Linked DNA regions of Callithrix jacchus. The protein of the gene in region 3 purifies or fractionates together with the protein of the main gene of each other region. This does not show direct contact. Links are inferred from orthologs where the notes say so. Each region holds a gene or a part of one and is shown on either strand. Other genes may lie near its edges. The genes, in order: MAX, EPC2, KAT5 and ACTL6A.

What was found.
Region 1: the proteins of KAT5 (region 3) and MAX purify together in Homo sapiens (affinity purification with mass spectrometry; 3 studies listed by BioGRID and IntAct, with this or other methods). This does not show direct contact. The link is inferred for Callithrix jacchus from reciprocal best matches to the Homo sapiens genes KAT5 and MAX.
Region 2: the proteins of KAT5 (region 3) and EPC2 purify together in Homo sapiens (affinity purification with mass spectrometry; 3 studies listed by BioGRID and IntAct, counting the BioPlex papers as one, with this or other methods). This does not show direct contact. The link is inferred for Callithrix jacchus from reciprocal best matches to the Homo sapiens genes KAT5 and EPC2.
Region 4: the proteins of KAT5 (region 3) and ACTL6A purify together in Homo sapiens (affinity purification with mass spectrometry; 6 studies listed by BioGRID and IntAct, with this or other methods). This does not show direct contact. The link is inferred for Callithrix jacchus from reciprocal best matches to the Homo sapiens genes KAT5 and ACTL6A.

The regions. Positions count from the first base shown.
Region 1 is NC_133509.1:99,770,491-99,775,086, reverse strand, and holds the start of MAX (protein max), read left to right. Parts: upstream 1-1,648; 5' UTR 1,649-1,830; coding exon 1,831-1,866; exon of another isoform or gene 1,867-2,063; intron 2,064-2,595; coding exon 2,596-2,622; intron 2,623-4,596. UniProt on the Homo sapiens protein: Transcription regulator. Forms a sequence-specific DNA-binding protein complex with MYC or MAD which recognizes the core sequence 5'-CAC[GA]TG-3'. The MYC:MAX complex is a transcriptional activator, whereas the MAD:MAX complex is a repressor.
Region 2 is NC_133507.1:81,635,160-81,638,957, reverse strand, and holds part of EPC2 (enhancer of polycomb homolog 2), read left to right. Parts: intron 1-535; coding exon 536-727; intron 728-3,798. UniProt on the Homo sapiens protein: May play a role in transcription or DNA repair.
Region 3 is NC_133511.1:122,803,526-122,807,800, forward strand, and holds the start of KAT5 (histone acetyltransferase KAT5), read left to right. Parts: upstream 1-1,367; 5' UTR 1,368-1,386; coding exon 1,387-1,564; intron 1,565-1,891; coding exon 1,892-1,960; intron 1,961-2,049; coding exon 2,050-2,186; intron 2,187-2,450; coding exon 2,451-2,633; intron 2,634-2,722; coding exon 2,723-2,797; intron 2,798-2,906; coding exon 2,907-2,981; intron 2,982-3,937; coding exon 3,938-4,186; intron 4,187-4,263; coding exon 4,264-4,275. UniProt on the Homo sapiens protein: Catalytic subunit of the NuA4 histone acetyltransferase complex, a multiprotein complex involved in transcriptional activation of select genes principally by acetylation of nucleosomal histones H2A and H4.
Region 4 is NC_133516.1:7,809,472-7,813,269, forward strand, and holds part of ACTL6A (actin-like protein 6A), read left to right. Parts: intron 1-1,105; coding exon 1,106-1,167; intron 1,168-1,366; coding exon 1,367-1,481; intron 1,482-1,626; coding exon 1,627-1,707; intron 1,708-3,798.

The DNA.
Region 1 (4,596 bases), on a different chromosome or scaffold from region 3:
TTTGCCCCCTGCAAAAAGAAAAAAAAAAAAAAAAATCCTTTAGTCTGGATCTCACCTCCAGAGGTTCTGGCTTAAATGGTTTGGGGTGTGGCCTGGGAATGGGAATTTTTTAAAGCCCCTAGGGTGATTTTAACTTGGAGCCGGGATTGTCCTAGAATGCTCTGTACATAGCAGGCACTCAACAACGGTTTCTTGTAATAATCAATTAGCTTTAACTTCTAGTATCCAGTTAATTAACTCACTCAAGAGTGGCCGTCTGTCATCAGCCCTTATCACATAATGGTCTGCTTATGTCTGTCTCCCCAACTCAGCAGGAAAGGAACACGTAGAAAAGGTAAGTTCAAAAGGAATGTATGTCCCAAGAATTGTGTGCGACATATCCCCAAATTTCCACATTCAAAAGTCAGGGATAATATAATTTTCATCCGGGAATCAGTAACTCATGGAAAAGCTCAAAATGTCATTCATTTTGGAGATCAGATGTAAAGGAGTAGTACGGGTACTTTGTCTCAGGGTGGAAAGTGTCTTTTTTTTTTTTTCTTCCCATGGGACTTGTTGCACTCCTAAAATGGCGGCAGGGCAGTCAGGTTTGCTTGCATAGCTGTGAACCACACTAAGGCAGGGATCGTTCTGGTCTTATCCGTTATGGCATCCCCTTGTGGCACATGTTAGGTGTTCAATAAATATTGGTGGAATGGATGTGACTACATTTTACTCCACAGTATGTAAATATGATTTTAACTGGACAGGGAGCTGCACAAGTTTCCCATATTGATCCTTTTTGCAATCTTAATTATGGTACTTGAGCTGGGATATTGCCTAAACTGCCTGGGCTACACAACAAACTCTGAAGGGGTTTTACTTCCAAGTCCACGGTGGTTGAGGGTTCGGGTTCTGTGAATGCTGGAAGCTCACGTGAGTAGCGGAGTGTCGAGGATGGTCACTCTCGGATAAATGAATACAGGATTCTTGCGGCTATGAGCGGTCGCCCGGCGAGGTCGGTCATCCTGCCTGTCCGGTAACTCCACGAAACACCTGCCACTGACACCTCCTCACCAGCTCCCGAGGGTTCGCGCGGGTATCCGGAGCCGTGCCCCCTGGTCCGCCGCAGCCGGATTCCCTCCTGGGCGGGTTACGCCCCAAGACGCAAAGCGAAACCACTCCACATCAAGACTGCAAAGTAAAACCGGTCGCACCAAAGACAGGCAGCGTTATTTAGACAGTCAGCTACTCCCCTAGAGCTTCCACCCAGTCCCCTGGGCCCGGCGCCCAGCGCGCAGACGGTGGCCGGCTCCAGGAGCTCCAGCTCCCTCCACGTGTCCTGTCTTCCCAGCAGCCTCCTCTGCAACCTCGGGAGGAAAACCTCCTGACAACTCGCGGTCTGCGGACTACGACTCCCAGGAGGCACCGCGCCGCGGCTCTCTCCGCCCCGCCCTCTCCCGGATACGCAGGCGCCTTGGGCTCCGTCAACAAGCGGGGCTGGCGTCGCCTGGATTTAGTTTCTTCTGGGATTTGTAGTTTTTCTGGAGCTACCCGGGCCGACCGTCAGAGGGACAAGAACTACAAGTCTCGGCGGCCCCAGCGCTACGAGCCCGATCACGTGGTGAGGGCCGACCGGGCGTGCGTGCCGCCGTTGATCCGGTGCTGCAGTGAGGAGGTGGTTCTCGCCCGTGTTGTGTGTGTGTGTGTGTGAGTGAGAGAGCGAGTGAGTGAGTGAGTGAGTGTGTGTGTGGGGGGGACTCAGCTTGTTGTTGTCGGTGACTTCCCCCTCCCCTCCACCCCTTCCCCTCCCCGCCGCCGCTGCAGTGGCCGCTTCCTGGGCCGTAGGAAATGAGCGATAACGATGACATCGAGGTGGAGAGCGACGTGAGTCCTGGGGCTTCTTCCTTCCAGTGCGGGTTGTCAGGCGGGGACAGCGGCCGGGGCTCTCAGCGGGGCGACGGCGGGAGGGGACCGGGCCGCCGCCGCATCCTTCCCCTTCCCCTTGGGGCCAGGACTGTCTGCGTCGCGTTCCCGGTTCGCTCCGCTCCGGCTCCTGGCTGGAGCGGCCTCCTGGGACTGAGGTGGGGGAAAGACACGCGGCCTCTGGGACCCCTCCCTTCTCCGGCGAGGGAGGGTGCTGCGGCCTCCCCCTCCCATTTTCCCCCGGTCAGGATTCGGGGGACAAAGATGGGGGGCGCCTGGGATCCCATTGTCCGGATCCAGGCGAAGGGGACTGTGCTCAGGAACTGCCCCTTCGGATCGCGATTCTCTCCTCCCATGACCCGCGGATCCTGGGGGGCGAGGAAGGGCGGAGAGGGGTTGAGGGTGCCTAGATGCCCGAGCTGGGTCTGCAGGGAAGAGACAGTGCTCGGGACCCCTCTGGCCCCGGTCGGATCCCGGAAGGAGGGGCGGCGCTCGGGACCCCTCTACCTTGCTACCGGATCCCGCTGAGGGTGGAAGGGTGGGGGCAAGGGGTGGGGAGGGAGGAAGGGGTGTCGGGCTGACTCCCCACCCGCCGCTTCCTCTGCCGCCGGCATTTTCTTTCTTATTACTGAATGTTAAGTGTAAAAATAACTTCTATATTTTCTATTTTTTTTTTCTCTCTTATTCCAGGAAGAGCAACCGAGGTTTCAATCTGCGGTACGTCTCCTACTCTCCATTTCATTTTTATTTCCGTTCAGTTCTATTCTTTTTGGGGTCAGAGAGAAAAAGAGATCGTTCTATTACTTTTAATATGGTAGTAAACCCTAATGTTAACCATTAAGGTGAGGCGGGGCCTGGTTCTGGAGGGCGGGGGTGTTGCAGATCCCATAATTCTAGATGCTCAGGTGATAAGTTCAGTGACTCTAGGTGACTGAGAGGAGCTGTATGCAAAGAATTGAATTGTTCTGTAGTTTTCAGATAGGGGATTCAGCTGCCACTATATAAGTGGAAATGAGAAATGCAGCATTTTGAAGTCGTTGGTAGTATTACTTAAGGGCAAAGTGGTTAGAAGATTTACTTAGGACCAGGTAGGTTTTAAACCATATCTGCATAATTGTGTGAAGCTGAAGCCACATGTAATAATCGCCTTTAACCAAGTCATGTGACTGCTGTAGACCCGTAGAATCTAGCACAACATGGTATTTTAGTGCAAAAATTGGAAATGTAGAAGAGCCAAAGGTTGCATCATGAGAGTGTCACATACGGTTGTTATGGTCTGACTCTGTATTTGAAGAAGAGGTATAAAGAAAACTAAAAAATAGTTGAAGAAAAGTGGCACTGCAGAGACAGCTTTGCTGAAAGGTGATGAAACCATGCAATTTTATCAATAATTTCTTAGGGTTTTGATATTAATGTTCTCAGTAGATGGTTCTGTGGATTTAGATAAGACTAATTTCATGTCTTTGGAGTCTGAGACAGTAATAAGGGTGTTTCATGAATAGATTAGAGGGAAAAAATAATACACATAGAATAAATCAGAATCAGAGAGGGGAAGAGAAGTGTATCAGAGTGTCTAAAATTTGACAGTTGGGAACAGTAAGAAGTGTATAGAATAGGGGTTAAAAAATTCTAATGCTCATGGGGGGCTGTCAAGAGTAAAGAAGAGGGAAGAGGTGAAGACTTGGGGTACTGGAGGGCAATGCCTCCTCTAAAAAGTCAGCCACTACTAAATTCCAGTGGTTTGTTATGTAGGAGTGCAGGATCAGTATTGCCAGATCTTCCTGTTTTTAAGAAAGATGGCCAGGCATGGTGGCTCACACCTGTAATCCCAGCGCTTTGGGAGGCAAAGGTGGGAGGATCACCTGAAGTCAGGAGTCCAAGACCATCCTGGTGAACATGGTGAAACCCCTGTCTCTACTAAAAATACAAAAAATTAGCCAGGCATGGTGGCAGGTGCCTGTAATCTCAGCTACTCTGGATGCTGAGGCAGGAGAGTTGCTTGAACCCAGGAGGCAAAGGTGACAATGAGCCATTACACTCTAGCCTGGGAGACAGAGCAAGACCCCATCTCAAAAAAAAAAAAGAAATCCAAACTTTATATGTTCATTTTTCTGATTTTTAATATGTGTGGAACAACTCTTTGGGGGCTTGTTAGAATTTGCAGGATCTTACTTTGATGCCTCTGGTATAAGAACTTAATAACCACACGATAAAGGCAGGCCATCTCGGTTGTACCTGCTCTTCATTAGAGCAAGCAAAGATTGTACAGTTTGTCTAAGCAGATGGGTATTAAGAAAACTTATTTATTGAGAGCTGATATTTCCATAAGATCCGAGGATGTAGTTGTTCCAGAAGTCTTAAAAATTATCCCTGGATAATAGTCATTAAGAATAATTTGTTTTGTTTTATTTATCTTTGAAGTATTCTCATATACATATATTTGAAAATCGAATTCCTTTTTTTAATTTACTTTTACTCTTCATGTTTGGGGCCTAGTCTTTTTAAAACTTTTTTTTTTTTTTCCCCTGCAAGTCTCCAGTTGTAAAATCTGCCAGGGCTTAATCAGGGTTGGAGGGTAAGGATCGTTTAGGCCTCCTTTGCAGAATTATCCTTTGAATTGAAATTATATTGACTTCCCAGTAAGAGAAAAGGGTTCTTTTTTTGGTGACATTTTGGTTCACAGTTCTTGAA
Region 2 (3,798 bases), on a different chromosome or scaffold from region 3:
ACTTCAGAACAGTTATTGTTCAGTTGCTGCAGTAATTATACATTCTAAAAAGTGAGGGCTTTTTTCCTAGTTAAGCTTGTTTTTCTCAAAAGGTTGCCATCCATAGAACAGACGTTTTAAAAAATTGGAACTAAGTGTAAAAATAACTTAATAAAGTCATGGTCCAATTGAAGATTTTTAAAAATAAAAATAGTTGTTAATTTTGTCAATATAGTAGATTTAAATAAGAATTGAATTTAAATACCTTTTAAATACTGGATTACATAATAGAGCAATCCAAAAAATCACTCACATCTTACTTTTAAGAAGTAATAGTATTAAAAGCAAATTTAAATACATAATTATTTTTCATCATAAGTTGCAGAAAGTAAAACATGTTTCAGTTTATGAACACAGAATAATTTTTGCTTATTAAAAAACATTAAATCACCTCCTGGGTAAAAATATATGTTTTTCAAAGGGCAGTATAGTTTTTCGTAATTTCTAAAATTATTTTTATTTCTTCCTTTTGGGGGAAAAATCGTCATGTAAACAGCACCCTCATCATTTGTCTTTGAAAGAAGAGGCTTCTGATGTGGTTCGTCAAAAGAAGAAGTACCCAAAGAAGCCTAAAGCAGAGGCTTTGATAACATCTCAGCAACCCACTCCTGAGACATTGCCTGTGATCAATAAGAGTGACATTAAGCAATATGACTTTCACAGCTCAGATGAAGATGAATTTCCACAGGTGCTTGTTTTAAAACTATTTTAAAGACATTTGCTCCTAGTCTTTTATATTGCTATATTTTTAAAACAATTGCCATCTTAGTGTTTTTATTCTTGCTTTGTTCCCCTAATATATATAGCATAAACATTTCCACATTATTTATGTAGCCACTGAAATGGTATTTACTCTGTATTATTTTTCATCAGTTGTATAGAATTTACTCTCTCCTGATCACATGGTTTTCAGTTTTTCCTTTTATAAAAATGAATGTAGATCTTGTCCCTCTGTATTTAGAATAGATTTTTGGAAATGGAATTACTAGTTACTAACTGAAAATTATCAATATTTTAAGGCAGTTAATATATAATTGTAAATATTGAAAATATCAGTAATGCTTTCCTTTTTACCATATTCCACCAGCATTGTGTTTTATAACTTTTAACGTAAATTTTGCTAATTTGTTAGGTAATGGCTATTTGATTCTAAAAGATTTAAGGGAACTGATTCCAGTTTTAACTCTTCGATAAATATTAAAAGTTTTGTAGAAAAATGTGTGCAATTAAAGAAAATCTTTATTTTTATTCCTTGTTTTAAAATAAGACTTTTACTTTATATATTAAAAGATAAATTTTTTCCAAAAAATATTATTTATCATCTGTTTTAGTGATACCCTCTTTTTAAAAATATAGTGTAGGAAACTTACAGAAAATACTGTAACAAAGACTTGAACCTACCACCAACTTTATCATATTTTAACTTTTGACTTGTTTGCTTTAAGGAAACTTTCTTTGAAAAAACCAACATTACAGATATGTTTGGAAAGCCAATTCTTCATTGCAATACCATTTCAGATCTGGAGTTTGCATAAAATGTGTCCCTTTGGGCTACATTCTATTATTTTTACTCTTTTTTTCCCGATTTAGTTTTTTTATTCAGATAATATTCTGATAGTCATATGCATAGTATTAAATGTGCAAAGATACATTTAATTTTATATTAAGTTCTTGAGGAAAACTTAATGAACCCATACATTACTTTTGTCAGAGGATCAACTAGTTTGACTCAGGCAGAGCTTTGACTAGCCATGGGACATTCACCAGATGACCATATGACCATTTTGAAGGAATGAGGGATATAGTGCCCTAGAAAATAGTAATTTTCCAGATAGCAAGTATAGGTTAGGGTTCTAGGCACAGCATATTAGAGGGAACTGCTAGCAGTTTAGCATTGCTGGAGCACAAAATATAGGAGGAAAAGGGGATGAAAGGCTTGATGCCTGCAGTAATAGCCAGATGGCAGATAGCCTCTATCTACATTATATATACTGGGAAATTATAATGTTAACTAAGAAAATGACATAGATAAATATATGTAGAATAGGCTTATATTGGTGGTACTAATGAGAGGCTAGAAAGTTTTGCTACATATTCCCATCCCTTTAAGAATGATGCTGTCGGCCAGACATTGTGACTCACGCCTGTAATCCCAGCACTTTGGGAAGCCAAAGCAGGTGGATTGCTTGCGCCCAGGAGTTGGAGACCAAGCCTGGGCAACATGGTGAAACCCCATCTCTACAAAAAGAAACAGAAGTACAAAAATTTAGCCAGGTGTGGTGATGCATGCCTCTAGTTCCCGCTACTCGGGAGGCTGAGGCAGGAAGATTGCTTGAGCCAGTGAGACAAAGGTTGCAGTGAACCAAGGTTACAGCACCATACTCCAGCCTGGGCAGCAGAGCAAGACCCTGCCTTAAAAAAAAAAAAAAAAAAAAAAAAGATACTGTAGGGTGCTGTGACCTATAGAAACTTTTCTCTTATTGGTGGAATTAGTACCTCCAGCCTGAAAGTAGAGCGGCATAACTAGTCATATGTTTCTCGTTCATTAAAGGATTTTCATTTCTCCTCCAAATTCTTACATTGATTTATATAGTTCCCAGTTCCCATCCCCACATGAAAATTGCCCTTTGAAACATTTAGGTTCTTTGAGTCTTTATATTAGATCTTAGACAACCCTCATTAATTTTATGGTATTTGCATATTGCTAAAGAGTAAATATTTACCTATATTTGGGCTTCATTCAGTGAGGCCCCTATTCAGAGTGTAACTCTTATAAAATCAGAATTTTATTGCTGACAAGATCATTAAAATAATCATACTTTTTCTCTGTCTAATAAACATGAACAAGGGAATAGGGCCTTAAGAGAACACACATTTTAACCAGACTTATGCTGTCAAATTGCAGCTGCATAGAACTAAAACCCTGCCTCTTGATCATGCTTCTGATTTTCCTAACATTAGCTTTGTCTTCCTATGACTCAGCCTTCGTTTGTCCTCTGGAATCTATCCCTAGGGAATGGTAGGAGAAAAAGGTGATAGATTTTATACACAGAATTTCTGAGACTTTGTGACACTTCCGTGTATATCTTAGAATTAGGGACATGATTTGCAAAGGAACCAAAGTGGAAAATTCACATTTGGGATTTCCTTTCAAATTTCAGGTTTGGGCTTCATTCCCCATGAAGAAGAGTCAGCCCCAGCTCACTGTTTCTGTGTCTCCCCCTAGGGTTGGTGGAGGTATATTGGAACCTCAAACAAATACCTTTCTCCCCTGGATGACCCTGCTCAGTGGTAATTACCACAGTTTGGAAATAATATGGAGAAAACATTTTTCCTCTCAAAATAGGAAGAGAGGGATTTGTGAGGTTCAGGAATTTGCGAGTAAATGTGGTTGAGCCAGCGTTTGTCAGAAAGAGATGTACTACAAAGCAAAAGTGCAAGACAACTGAAATTTAAATACCAAAACTTTTTTAAAAATTTTAACCGTTATGAGTGGAAATTTATCTAAAACATATTATTTCCCTGCCATTGGTATATCTGTATATTATTTAATTTGTTTTTATGACATTTATAATAAAGTGCCCTCTAATGGGTCAGTGCGACTGCCCTAGAGGTCCACTCAATTACATAGGGATATTTGGCCTGATATGACATGGTCTGGGCACAGTGCTTTCTAATAATGTGACAGCTTTCTGAAAGTCTTTATTCTTTTTCTTTAGGGTAGTTGGCTTATCACATCTTTGTAACCAATCTACTTAC
Region 3 (4,275 bases):
GAACATAGGCAAGGGCCACTGCTACACCTGGCTAACTGAACATTTGTCTTGCTCTGTGGCTGAGGCTTGTCTGTAATTCCTGGGGTCAAGCAATCCTCCCGCCTCTGCCCCAAAGTGTTGGGATCACAGGCGTGAGCCACTGCACCAGACCTGAAGTCTTCATTTTGTTCACTGATGTATTCCAGGCTCTAGAATAGTGTCTGACACATGTTTTGGGTCCCTAAATATTTTTTGAATGTATGATGAGTATCACACATACTATCTTTATAATTATAAACCTAATATACAAAACAACGGCCGGGGCCGGGGCCCTAGAACTTTGGGAGGCTGAGGTGGGTAGCCTGCTTGAGCTCAGAAGTTTGAGACCAGCCTGGGCAGCATCTTTTTCTTTTTTTTGAGAAAGGGTCTCACTCTGTCACCCAGACTGGAGTGCAATGGCAGGATCTTGGCTCACTGCAACCTCTGCCTCCTGGGTTCAAGACATTCTCTTGCCTCAGCCTCCTGAGTAGCTGGGATAACTGGAGGACACCACCATATCCAGCTAACTTTTACATTTTTAGTAGAGATGGGGTTTTACCATGTTGGCCAGGCTGGTCTTGAACTCCTGACCTCAAGTAATCCCAGAATTTTGGGAGGCTAAGGCGGGCAGATCACGAGGTCAAAGGATTGAGAGCATCTTGGCCAACATGGAGAAACCCCGTCTCTACTAAAAATACAAAAATTAGTTGGGCATGGTGGTCCGCGCCTTTTGTCCCAACTACAGGGGAGGCTGAGGCAGGAAAATCGCTTGAACCCAGGGGGCAGAGGTTGCAGTGAGCCGACATCGCGCCACTGCTGCAGAGCGAGACTCCGTCTCAAAAAAAAAAAAAGCGTAGTATACAAAATAAAGCTAGGAATATTCCCTGAATCCTCCTGCCTATGGAATGAAGTCCACAGACTTGGAAGAGCGTTGAAGCCCCTCTAAAGCCACTCCCTTCCTCCAGCCTCTCGGCCCGTAGCTCAGCACTAGCAGTTCACTCCCGGCGATACCTCCCGCCGCCACGAGGAGACGCCCCAGCACCGCCCTCTGTCAAAGCCCAAACAATATTGCCACGTGACCCGCTCCGCATCCACGTGACCAGCGTCGCACGCGGTGGGCGTCAGGTGACGGGCTCAGTAGTTCTCCAATCGCTGTGCACGTTGTGGGGTTTCCACTTAGGGCTCGGTCTGAGGCTTGTAACACCACATTCTCCCCCAAGCCACAGGGGCAGTCTTGCCGCTGGCAGCTGGGTGGCGGTGTCTCTCAAAGGTCCTCTATAGGGGCTTCGTGAGGCCCAAGCCTACAGCACTCAGTTCCGGAAGTGACGTCTCCCAGAGGGGCCGGAAGTGGCAGTGGAGGGAGGGAAGATGGCGGAGGTGGTGAGTCCGGTGCCTGGGGCGGGGCGGAGGGAGCCAGGGGAGGTGGGTAGAGCCCGAGGCCCCCCAGTAGCCGACCCTGGCGCCGCGCTGTCTCCCCAGGGGGAGATAATCGAGGGCTGCCGCCTACCCGTGCTGCGGCGGAACCAGGACAACGAAGATGAGTGGCGTGAGTGACGTCGGGGGGCGGGGCTAAGGAACCTGAGGGCGAGGGGCGGGAGGGAGTCCACTGAACCCCCGGGATGGGGAGGGGCCTCTGGAATTATGGGGCGGGCGGGGCTCAGACACTCCGATGAAGGGGCGTGGCTCTTAGCTGCTATGAGAGGTACAGGGCGGGGTCTGGAAAGGGGTGGCACTTGTGACTGAAGGAGGCTTGGATGAGACCTTCCAAGTGCTGCAGCTTAGGGATCCGGCCTGGGGGTGGAGTTCAGGTCGTGGAAGGGTGGAGTCTCATGGCCTGGCCCGTCTAAGGTCCCTGCCTATGCTGTTCCCATAGCACTGGCCGAGATCCTGAGTGTGAAGGACATCAGTGGCCGGAAGCTTTTCTACGTCCATTACATTGATTGTGAGTTCTGGGCCTAAGGTGGGGCAGCAGGGTAGGGGGTTGGGGGGCAGTCTTTGGCATTCCTTCCTGAGCCATCCCCACTGCTACAGTCAACAAACGTCTGGATGAATGGGTGACGCACGAGCGGCTGGACCTAAAGAAGATCCAGTTCCCCAAGAAAGAGGCCAAGACCCCCACCAAGAACGGACTTCCTGGGTCCCGTCCCGGCTCTCCAGAGAGAGAGGTGGTGAGTAGGTCCCCCACTTCACCTCATCTCTCCTGCCTCCTATTTCTCTTATCTGTTGGCATTTAGGGGCTCCTGGATGGGCAGGAGGCGGCATCCTCTTACCCTGACTTCAGCTTGCAAAAGATGGGGGCCAAATTGCACATGTAGCTCCCAGAGTCCAGTAGTTAGTCCTGTGTCCTTCAGAAGGCAGAGGGTGGGGTTTGATAATTTTAAGCTGAGGGGCCCCTCTTCCCCTTCCCCATCCCACTGCCATCCCCGCCCCAGAGGAAGACCCTGGACCTATCTCTACAGCCGGCCTCGGCCCAGGCCAGCGGGAAGACCTTGCCAATCCCGGTCCAGATCACACTCCGCTTCAACCTGCCCAAGGAGCGGGAGGCCATTCCCGGTGGCGAGCCTGACCAGCCGCTCTCCTCCAGCTCCTGCCTGCAGCCCAACCACCGCTCAACGGTACCCTCAGCAATTCCAGGGACCTTGCTTTCTTCTCAGGTCCCACCTTCTCTACCCTCTGACCCACCTTTGTTGGTTTCTCTCTGCAGAAACGGAAGGTGGAGGTGGTTTCACCAGCAACTCCAGTGCCCAGTGAGACAGCCCCAGCTTCGGTTTTTCCCCAGGTGAGTTCCCCAAACCATTTCTTGTTCCTTTCCTCTCTTCTGCCCTCTGGTGGCCCTTTTCAAGCTCATCTCACAGTCATCCCTTCTTTTCCTGGTATCTCATCTGCAGAATGGAGCAGCACGTAGGGCAGTGGCAGCCCAGCCAGGACGGAAGCGAAAATCAAATTGTCTGGGCACTGATGAGGTGGGTCTGGGGAGCAGCAGAAGGGAGCTGCGTGAAAAGGAAGGGATGCAGGCAGGGTGGAGAGTTATTTAGTGATGAGTATAAAAATGAAGGGGTGGTGGACCTGGGCAGGGCTAGTGTTGGTAGGATTAGGAGCCAGGCAGAACATGGTTCAAATGAATCATTGGGGCTGGGCACCATGGTGCACACCTGTAATCCCAGCACTTTGGGAGGCCAAGGTGGGTGGATCACCTGAGGTCAGGAGTTTGAGACCAGCCTGGCCAACATGGCAAAACCTCATCTCTACTAAAAATAAAAAAATTGGTTGGGCACAGTGGCTGACACCTGTAATCCCAGCTCTTTGAGAGGCCAAGGTGGGTGGGTCATGAGGTCAAGAGATTGAGACCACCCTGTCCAACATGGTAGTGAAACATGGTGAAACCCCATCTCTACTAAAAGTAAAAAATCAGCTGGGCCTGGTGGCGCACGCCTGTAATCCCAGCTACTTGGGAGGCCGAGGCAGGAGAAACGTTTGAACCCCGGAGGTGGAGGTTGCAGTGAGCTGAGATTACACCACTGGTACTCCAGCCTGGGAAAAAAGTGAGCCTTTGTCTCAAAAAAAAAAAAAAATTAGCCAGACATAGTGGCAGGCACCCGTAATCCCAGCTACTCCGGAGGCTGAGGCCAGAGAATCTCTTGAAGCCCGGAGGTGAAGGTTGCAGCAAGCCAAGATTGCACCACTGCACCTCATCCTGGGCGACAGAGTGAGACTCCATCTCCAAAATGATCATTGGGTGATGTTTTCCACATCATCAGTCCCTTAGGGTTTCAGGTTTTACGTCTGGAAATTGGGGGTCATGGTACCTTCCCTATAGGGTTGCTGTTAGGCTTGAAGGAAACCTGTTGAGGGGGTGTGAGCTGTGGTGTCCTGCTGAGCTGTCTCGTCTAACCTGGTGTCTTCTACTCGCCCTGGGCAGGACTCCCAGGACAGCTCAGATGGAATACCATCGGCACCACGCATGACTGGCAGCCTGGTGTCTGACCGGAGCCACGACGACATCGTCACCCGGATGAAGAACATTGAGTGTATCGAGCTGGGCCGGCACCGCCTCAAGCCGTGGTACTTCTCCCCGTACCCACAGGAGCTCACTACATTGCCTGTCCTCTACCTGTGCGAGTTCTGCCTCAAGTACGGCCGTAGCCTCAAGTGTCTTCAGCGTCACTTGGTATGAGGGGTACAGGGAGGCTGCCTTCCCAGCACTGTCCACCTTGCCCTCGTCCCTGATCCTCCTCTCTTCCCCAGACCAAGTGTGAC
Region 4 (3,798 bases), on a different chromosome or scaffold from region 3:
GAAATTGCACAACTGCATTCAAGCCTGGATGACCAAGCAAGACTGAAAAAAAAAGTAAAGATAGAGTCTCGCTCTGTCACCCAAACTGGAGTGCAGTGGTGTATTTGTAGTTCAGTGCAGCCTCAAACACCTGGGCTCCTCCCGCCTCAGCCTCCTAAAGGACTACAGGTGCACGCCACCATGCCTGGCTAATTTTTTTATTTTTTATTTCTTTTATATTATTTTAATTTTATTTTTTTTGAGACAGAGTCTCACTCTTGCCCAGGCTGGAGTGCAGTAGTGCAATCTTGGCACACAGCAACCTCCGCCTCCTGGGTTCAAGTGATTCTCCTGCCTCAGCCTCCTGAGTAGCTAGGACTATTTAGTAGAGATGGGGTTTCACCGGTTAGCCAAGATGGTCTTGCTCTCCTGACCTCATGATCTGCCTGCCTTGGCCTCCCAAAGTGCTGGGATTACAGGTGTGAGCCACCCCTGTGTTGCCCAGGCTGGTCTTGAACTCCTGGCCTCAACTGATCCTCCTACCTTAGCCTCCCAAAGTGCTGAGATTTCAGGCATGAGCCACTGCACCCCACTCTATCTGACAGTTTTTGTACCTAAAAATGAAGATTTTTTTAATATGAGGAAAAATTAGGATGATTAGTCATTTTTTTCTAGATACTAAACAAGATTTTTCTAGAGGTCATATTAGTTCATAGCATTTTATTAAACTGTTTTATACACTGTACAGTCATTAAAAGTTGCATAAAATGTGATGTATATATGTTGCTTCTAATCTAGCTTATTTTTAAGGAGAAACTGGTCTTCTGAAGTTGGTTTTGTTATGCAGGACTGTGGTGCAGGGGTTCCCTGTTGTTTACCTCTTATGATTGTTTCATAACTGTCGTAACTTAAATGTGTGTAATTTAGCCTCTAATGCAAATGTTTAGCGTTGGGTTTCTTGATACTCAGAATCCTTGTGAGGTAGATTTATACTCTTGAAATTATTTACCCATACAGAAACAGGGTCCAGTTTTATTCCGAAAAGTATTTAAAATATGTTATAAAAGTGTAGATTAAAAAGATAAATCTCAACCTTGTTTTTTAAACTTTTTTCTTTTACTCATAGTGTGTTATCCAGGATTTTCAAGCTTCAGTACTTCAAGTGTCGGATTCAACTTATGATGAACAGTATGTTTTCTTATTTAAATTGTTACTTTATAAATAAGGAAAGGATTTGTTTAAAAAATATCATGGAACGTACTTAATTGAATAATGCTTAAAATATTCTCACTCCCATTATTTTAAAAGTTGATAATTCCCTAGTAGTTTATCATTTCGAAGAGAATTAATTTTGTCTTTTGTGTGATACTGTTTAATACGTTTTCAGAGTGGCTGCACAGATGCCAACTGTTCATTATGAATTCCCCAATGGCTACAATTGTGATTTTGGTGCAGAGCGGCTAAAAATTCCGGAAGGATTATTTGACCCTTCCAATGTAAAGGTATAAAAGCTTATTTCATAATGAGCCTGGCTTTTTCTATATGTGTAAGGAGTGTTTGTGATTATAAAATAAGACTAAAACGTTTTGGATGTGCTTTAACTGTTTGAAGTTCTTCCATGTGACTCTTTGTTTTCTTTTGTTGTAGGGGTTATCAGGAAACACAATGTTAGGAGTCAGTCACGTTGTCACCACAAGTGTTGGGATGTGTGATATTGATATCAGACCAGTAAGTGCCAGATCTTTTAGGGTACTGACGTGTCTCCAAGTCATTGTTAGGTTGTCAGTGTCATTGACTTTGAAGTTTGTTTTATAACAGTAGATATAAAAAGAGGAAGTACTGAAAAAGGAAAAGTCAAAACTCTAGAGCTATGGAGTCCGGACTGGTAGCTACCTGCCACATGTAGCAATTTAAATTAAATAAAAACTTAAAATTCAGCTCTTCAGTTATAGTAGCCTCATTATACATGTGGCTGGTGGCTGCTTCATCAGGCAGGGCAGATACAGAACATTTGTATCATCACAGAAAGTTCTTATAGAAGGTGCCACGCTGGAGATTTCCTGAAATGTGGCCAACCAAAATATGTATTATTGGTGATTTTCTTTTTTTTTCTTGAGACGGAGTTTCACTCTTGCTACCCATGCTGGAGTGCAATGGCATGATCTCGGCTCACCACAACCTCCGCCTTCTGGGTTCAGGCAGTTCTCCTGCCTCAGCCTCCTGAGTAGCTGGGATTACAGGCACGCACCACCATGCCCAGCTAAGTTTTTGTATTTTTAGTAGAGACGGGGTTTCACCATGTTGACCAGGATGGTCTCAATCTCTTGACCTCGTAATCCACCTGCCTCAGCCTCCCAAAGTGCTGGCATTACAGGCTTGAGCCACCGCGCCCGGCCCCTGGTGATTTTCTTAAAGATAGCACAACTTCTGCATTTCTTTTTCAGGAAGGTGTGTTTTAAATTATATGAGTAACTTTTACATGAAGTTCATATTAGATGATCTTCATATTTTTTTGTGCTTTGTCAGGTTTTAAATACTAGCCCCATGTTATATACTTCACTCATTATCAGTGATAGGACCTTGGAGACTGCAACTTTAAGTGAAATGATGTACAGTAGGTTCTTGAAGGACATTGTTTCAGGAAAAAAATTGGTTTTGTTACGTCGTTTTCCTGAAAGTCAGTTTCCAAGGACATATTGATGACATTAAGTGAGGACTGACGTCATCTTATTTAAACCCGATTCGATTAAGCTTATTGCTCGCAGACTGCCTGGATTTTGAGTAAATTAATTTGCTTAAAGCATAGAGTGCTAACAGCTACTATGTTGTTCAGAAAAGACTTGGAGTGGCTGTGAAAATCATACTTTATTTCACCGGAAACCTAGCAGGCATGTGATGTTTCAAGGACCAATAGGAGTGTCAGTTTGGGATTTTTTTTTTTAGCGCACATACAAGTCCACCTTTGGGGAAAGGTAATTGAAGTATATTTGTTGCAACAGTGGTAACTTTATTTTTAGTGAAATTTCTCCTTTTAACTAATGAGGTACTTTTTTATTCCATTTTCTACTTCAAAATTTAGATGATTTAGACATTTTGAATATGTTTTAAAAATAGGAATTTATCCACTAAAACAGGTTGACTTTTAACCTTCTGAAGCATACATGCAAATTCAAAGTAAATATATTTTGTATAAGTAGTAGTTTATTTTTATTTGGGGAAGCCTCACTTGTGTTTTAGAAAACTCCCATGTACTTCTGATGCATACCTCTGCAAAAGAGAAAGGTAGCAATCATTTTGGACAGGATTATGTTCAGAGTTCATCTTTGTCCATCATAATCATAAATTTTGAATATCCTAACTTCCAGATAAGCATTCTTTTTCAAAATATTTGTAATTTTAATTTTTGGCTGGTGGTTGGTATTAAATTTTCCAGATGAGCATTCTAAGATAAAGTTGTTATAAAATACACTTCTATTATTGGCAGCTATCTGCCAAAAAAATGATCATTTTTAGGACGATTCCTTTAAGTTAGCGGTTCTTAAAACTTTGTGCACATTAAACTAATCTTGGGAGTTAAAAAGCATGCCTGCCAGGCACAGTGGCATGTAGTCCCAGTTGCTTGGGAGCCTGAGACAGGAGGAGGATTGTTGGAAGCCGGGAGTTTGAGGCTGTGGTACGCTATGATAGTGCCTGTGAATAGCCACTGCATTCCAATGTAGGCAATATAGCGAGACCCCGTCTCTAAAAGTAATCTTGCCTGGATCCCATCCCCAGAAATTTTTATTTAATTGCCCCAGGAGTAAAAGCTCCTTAGATGAG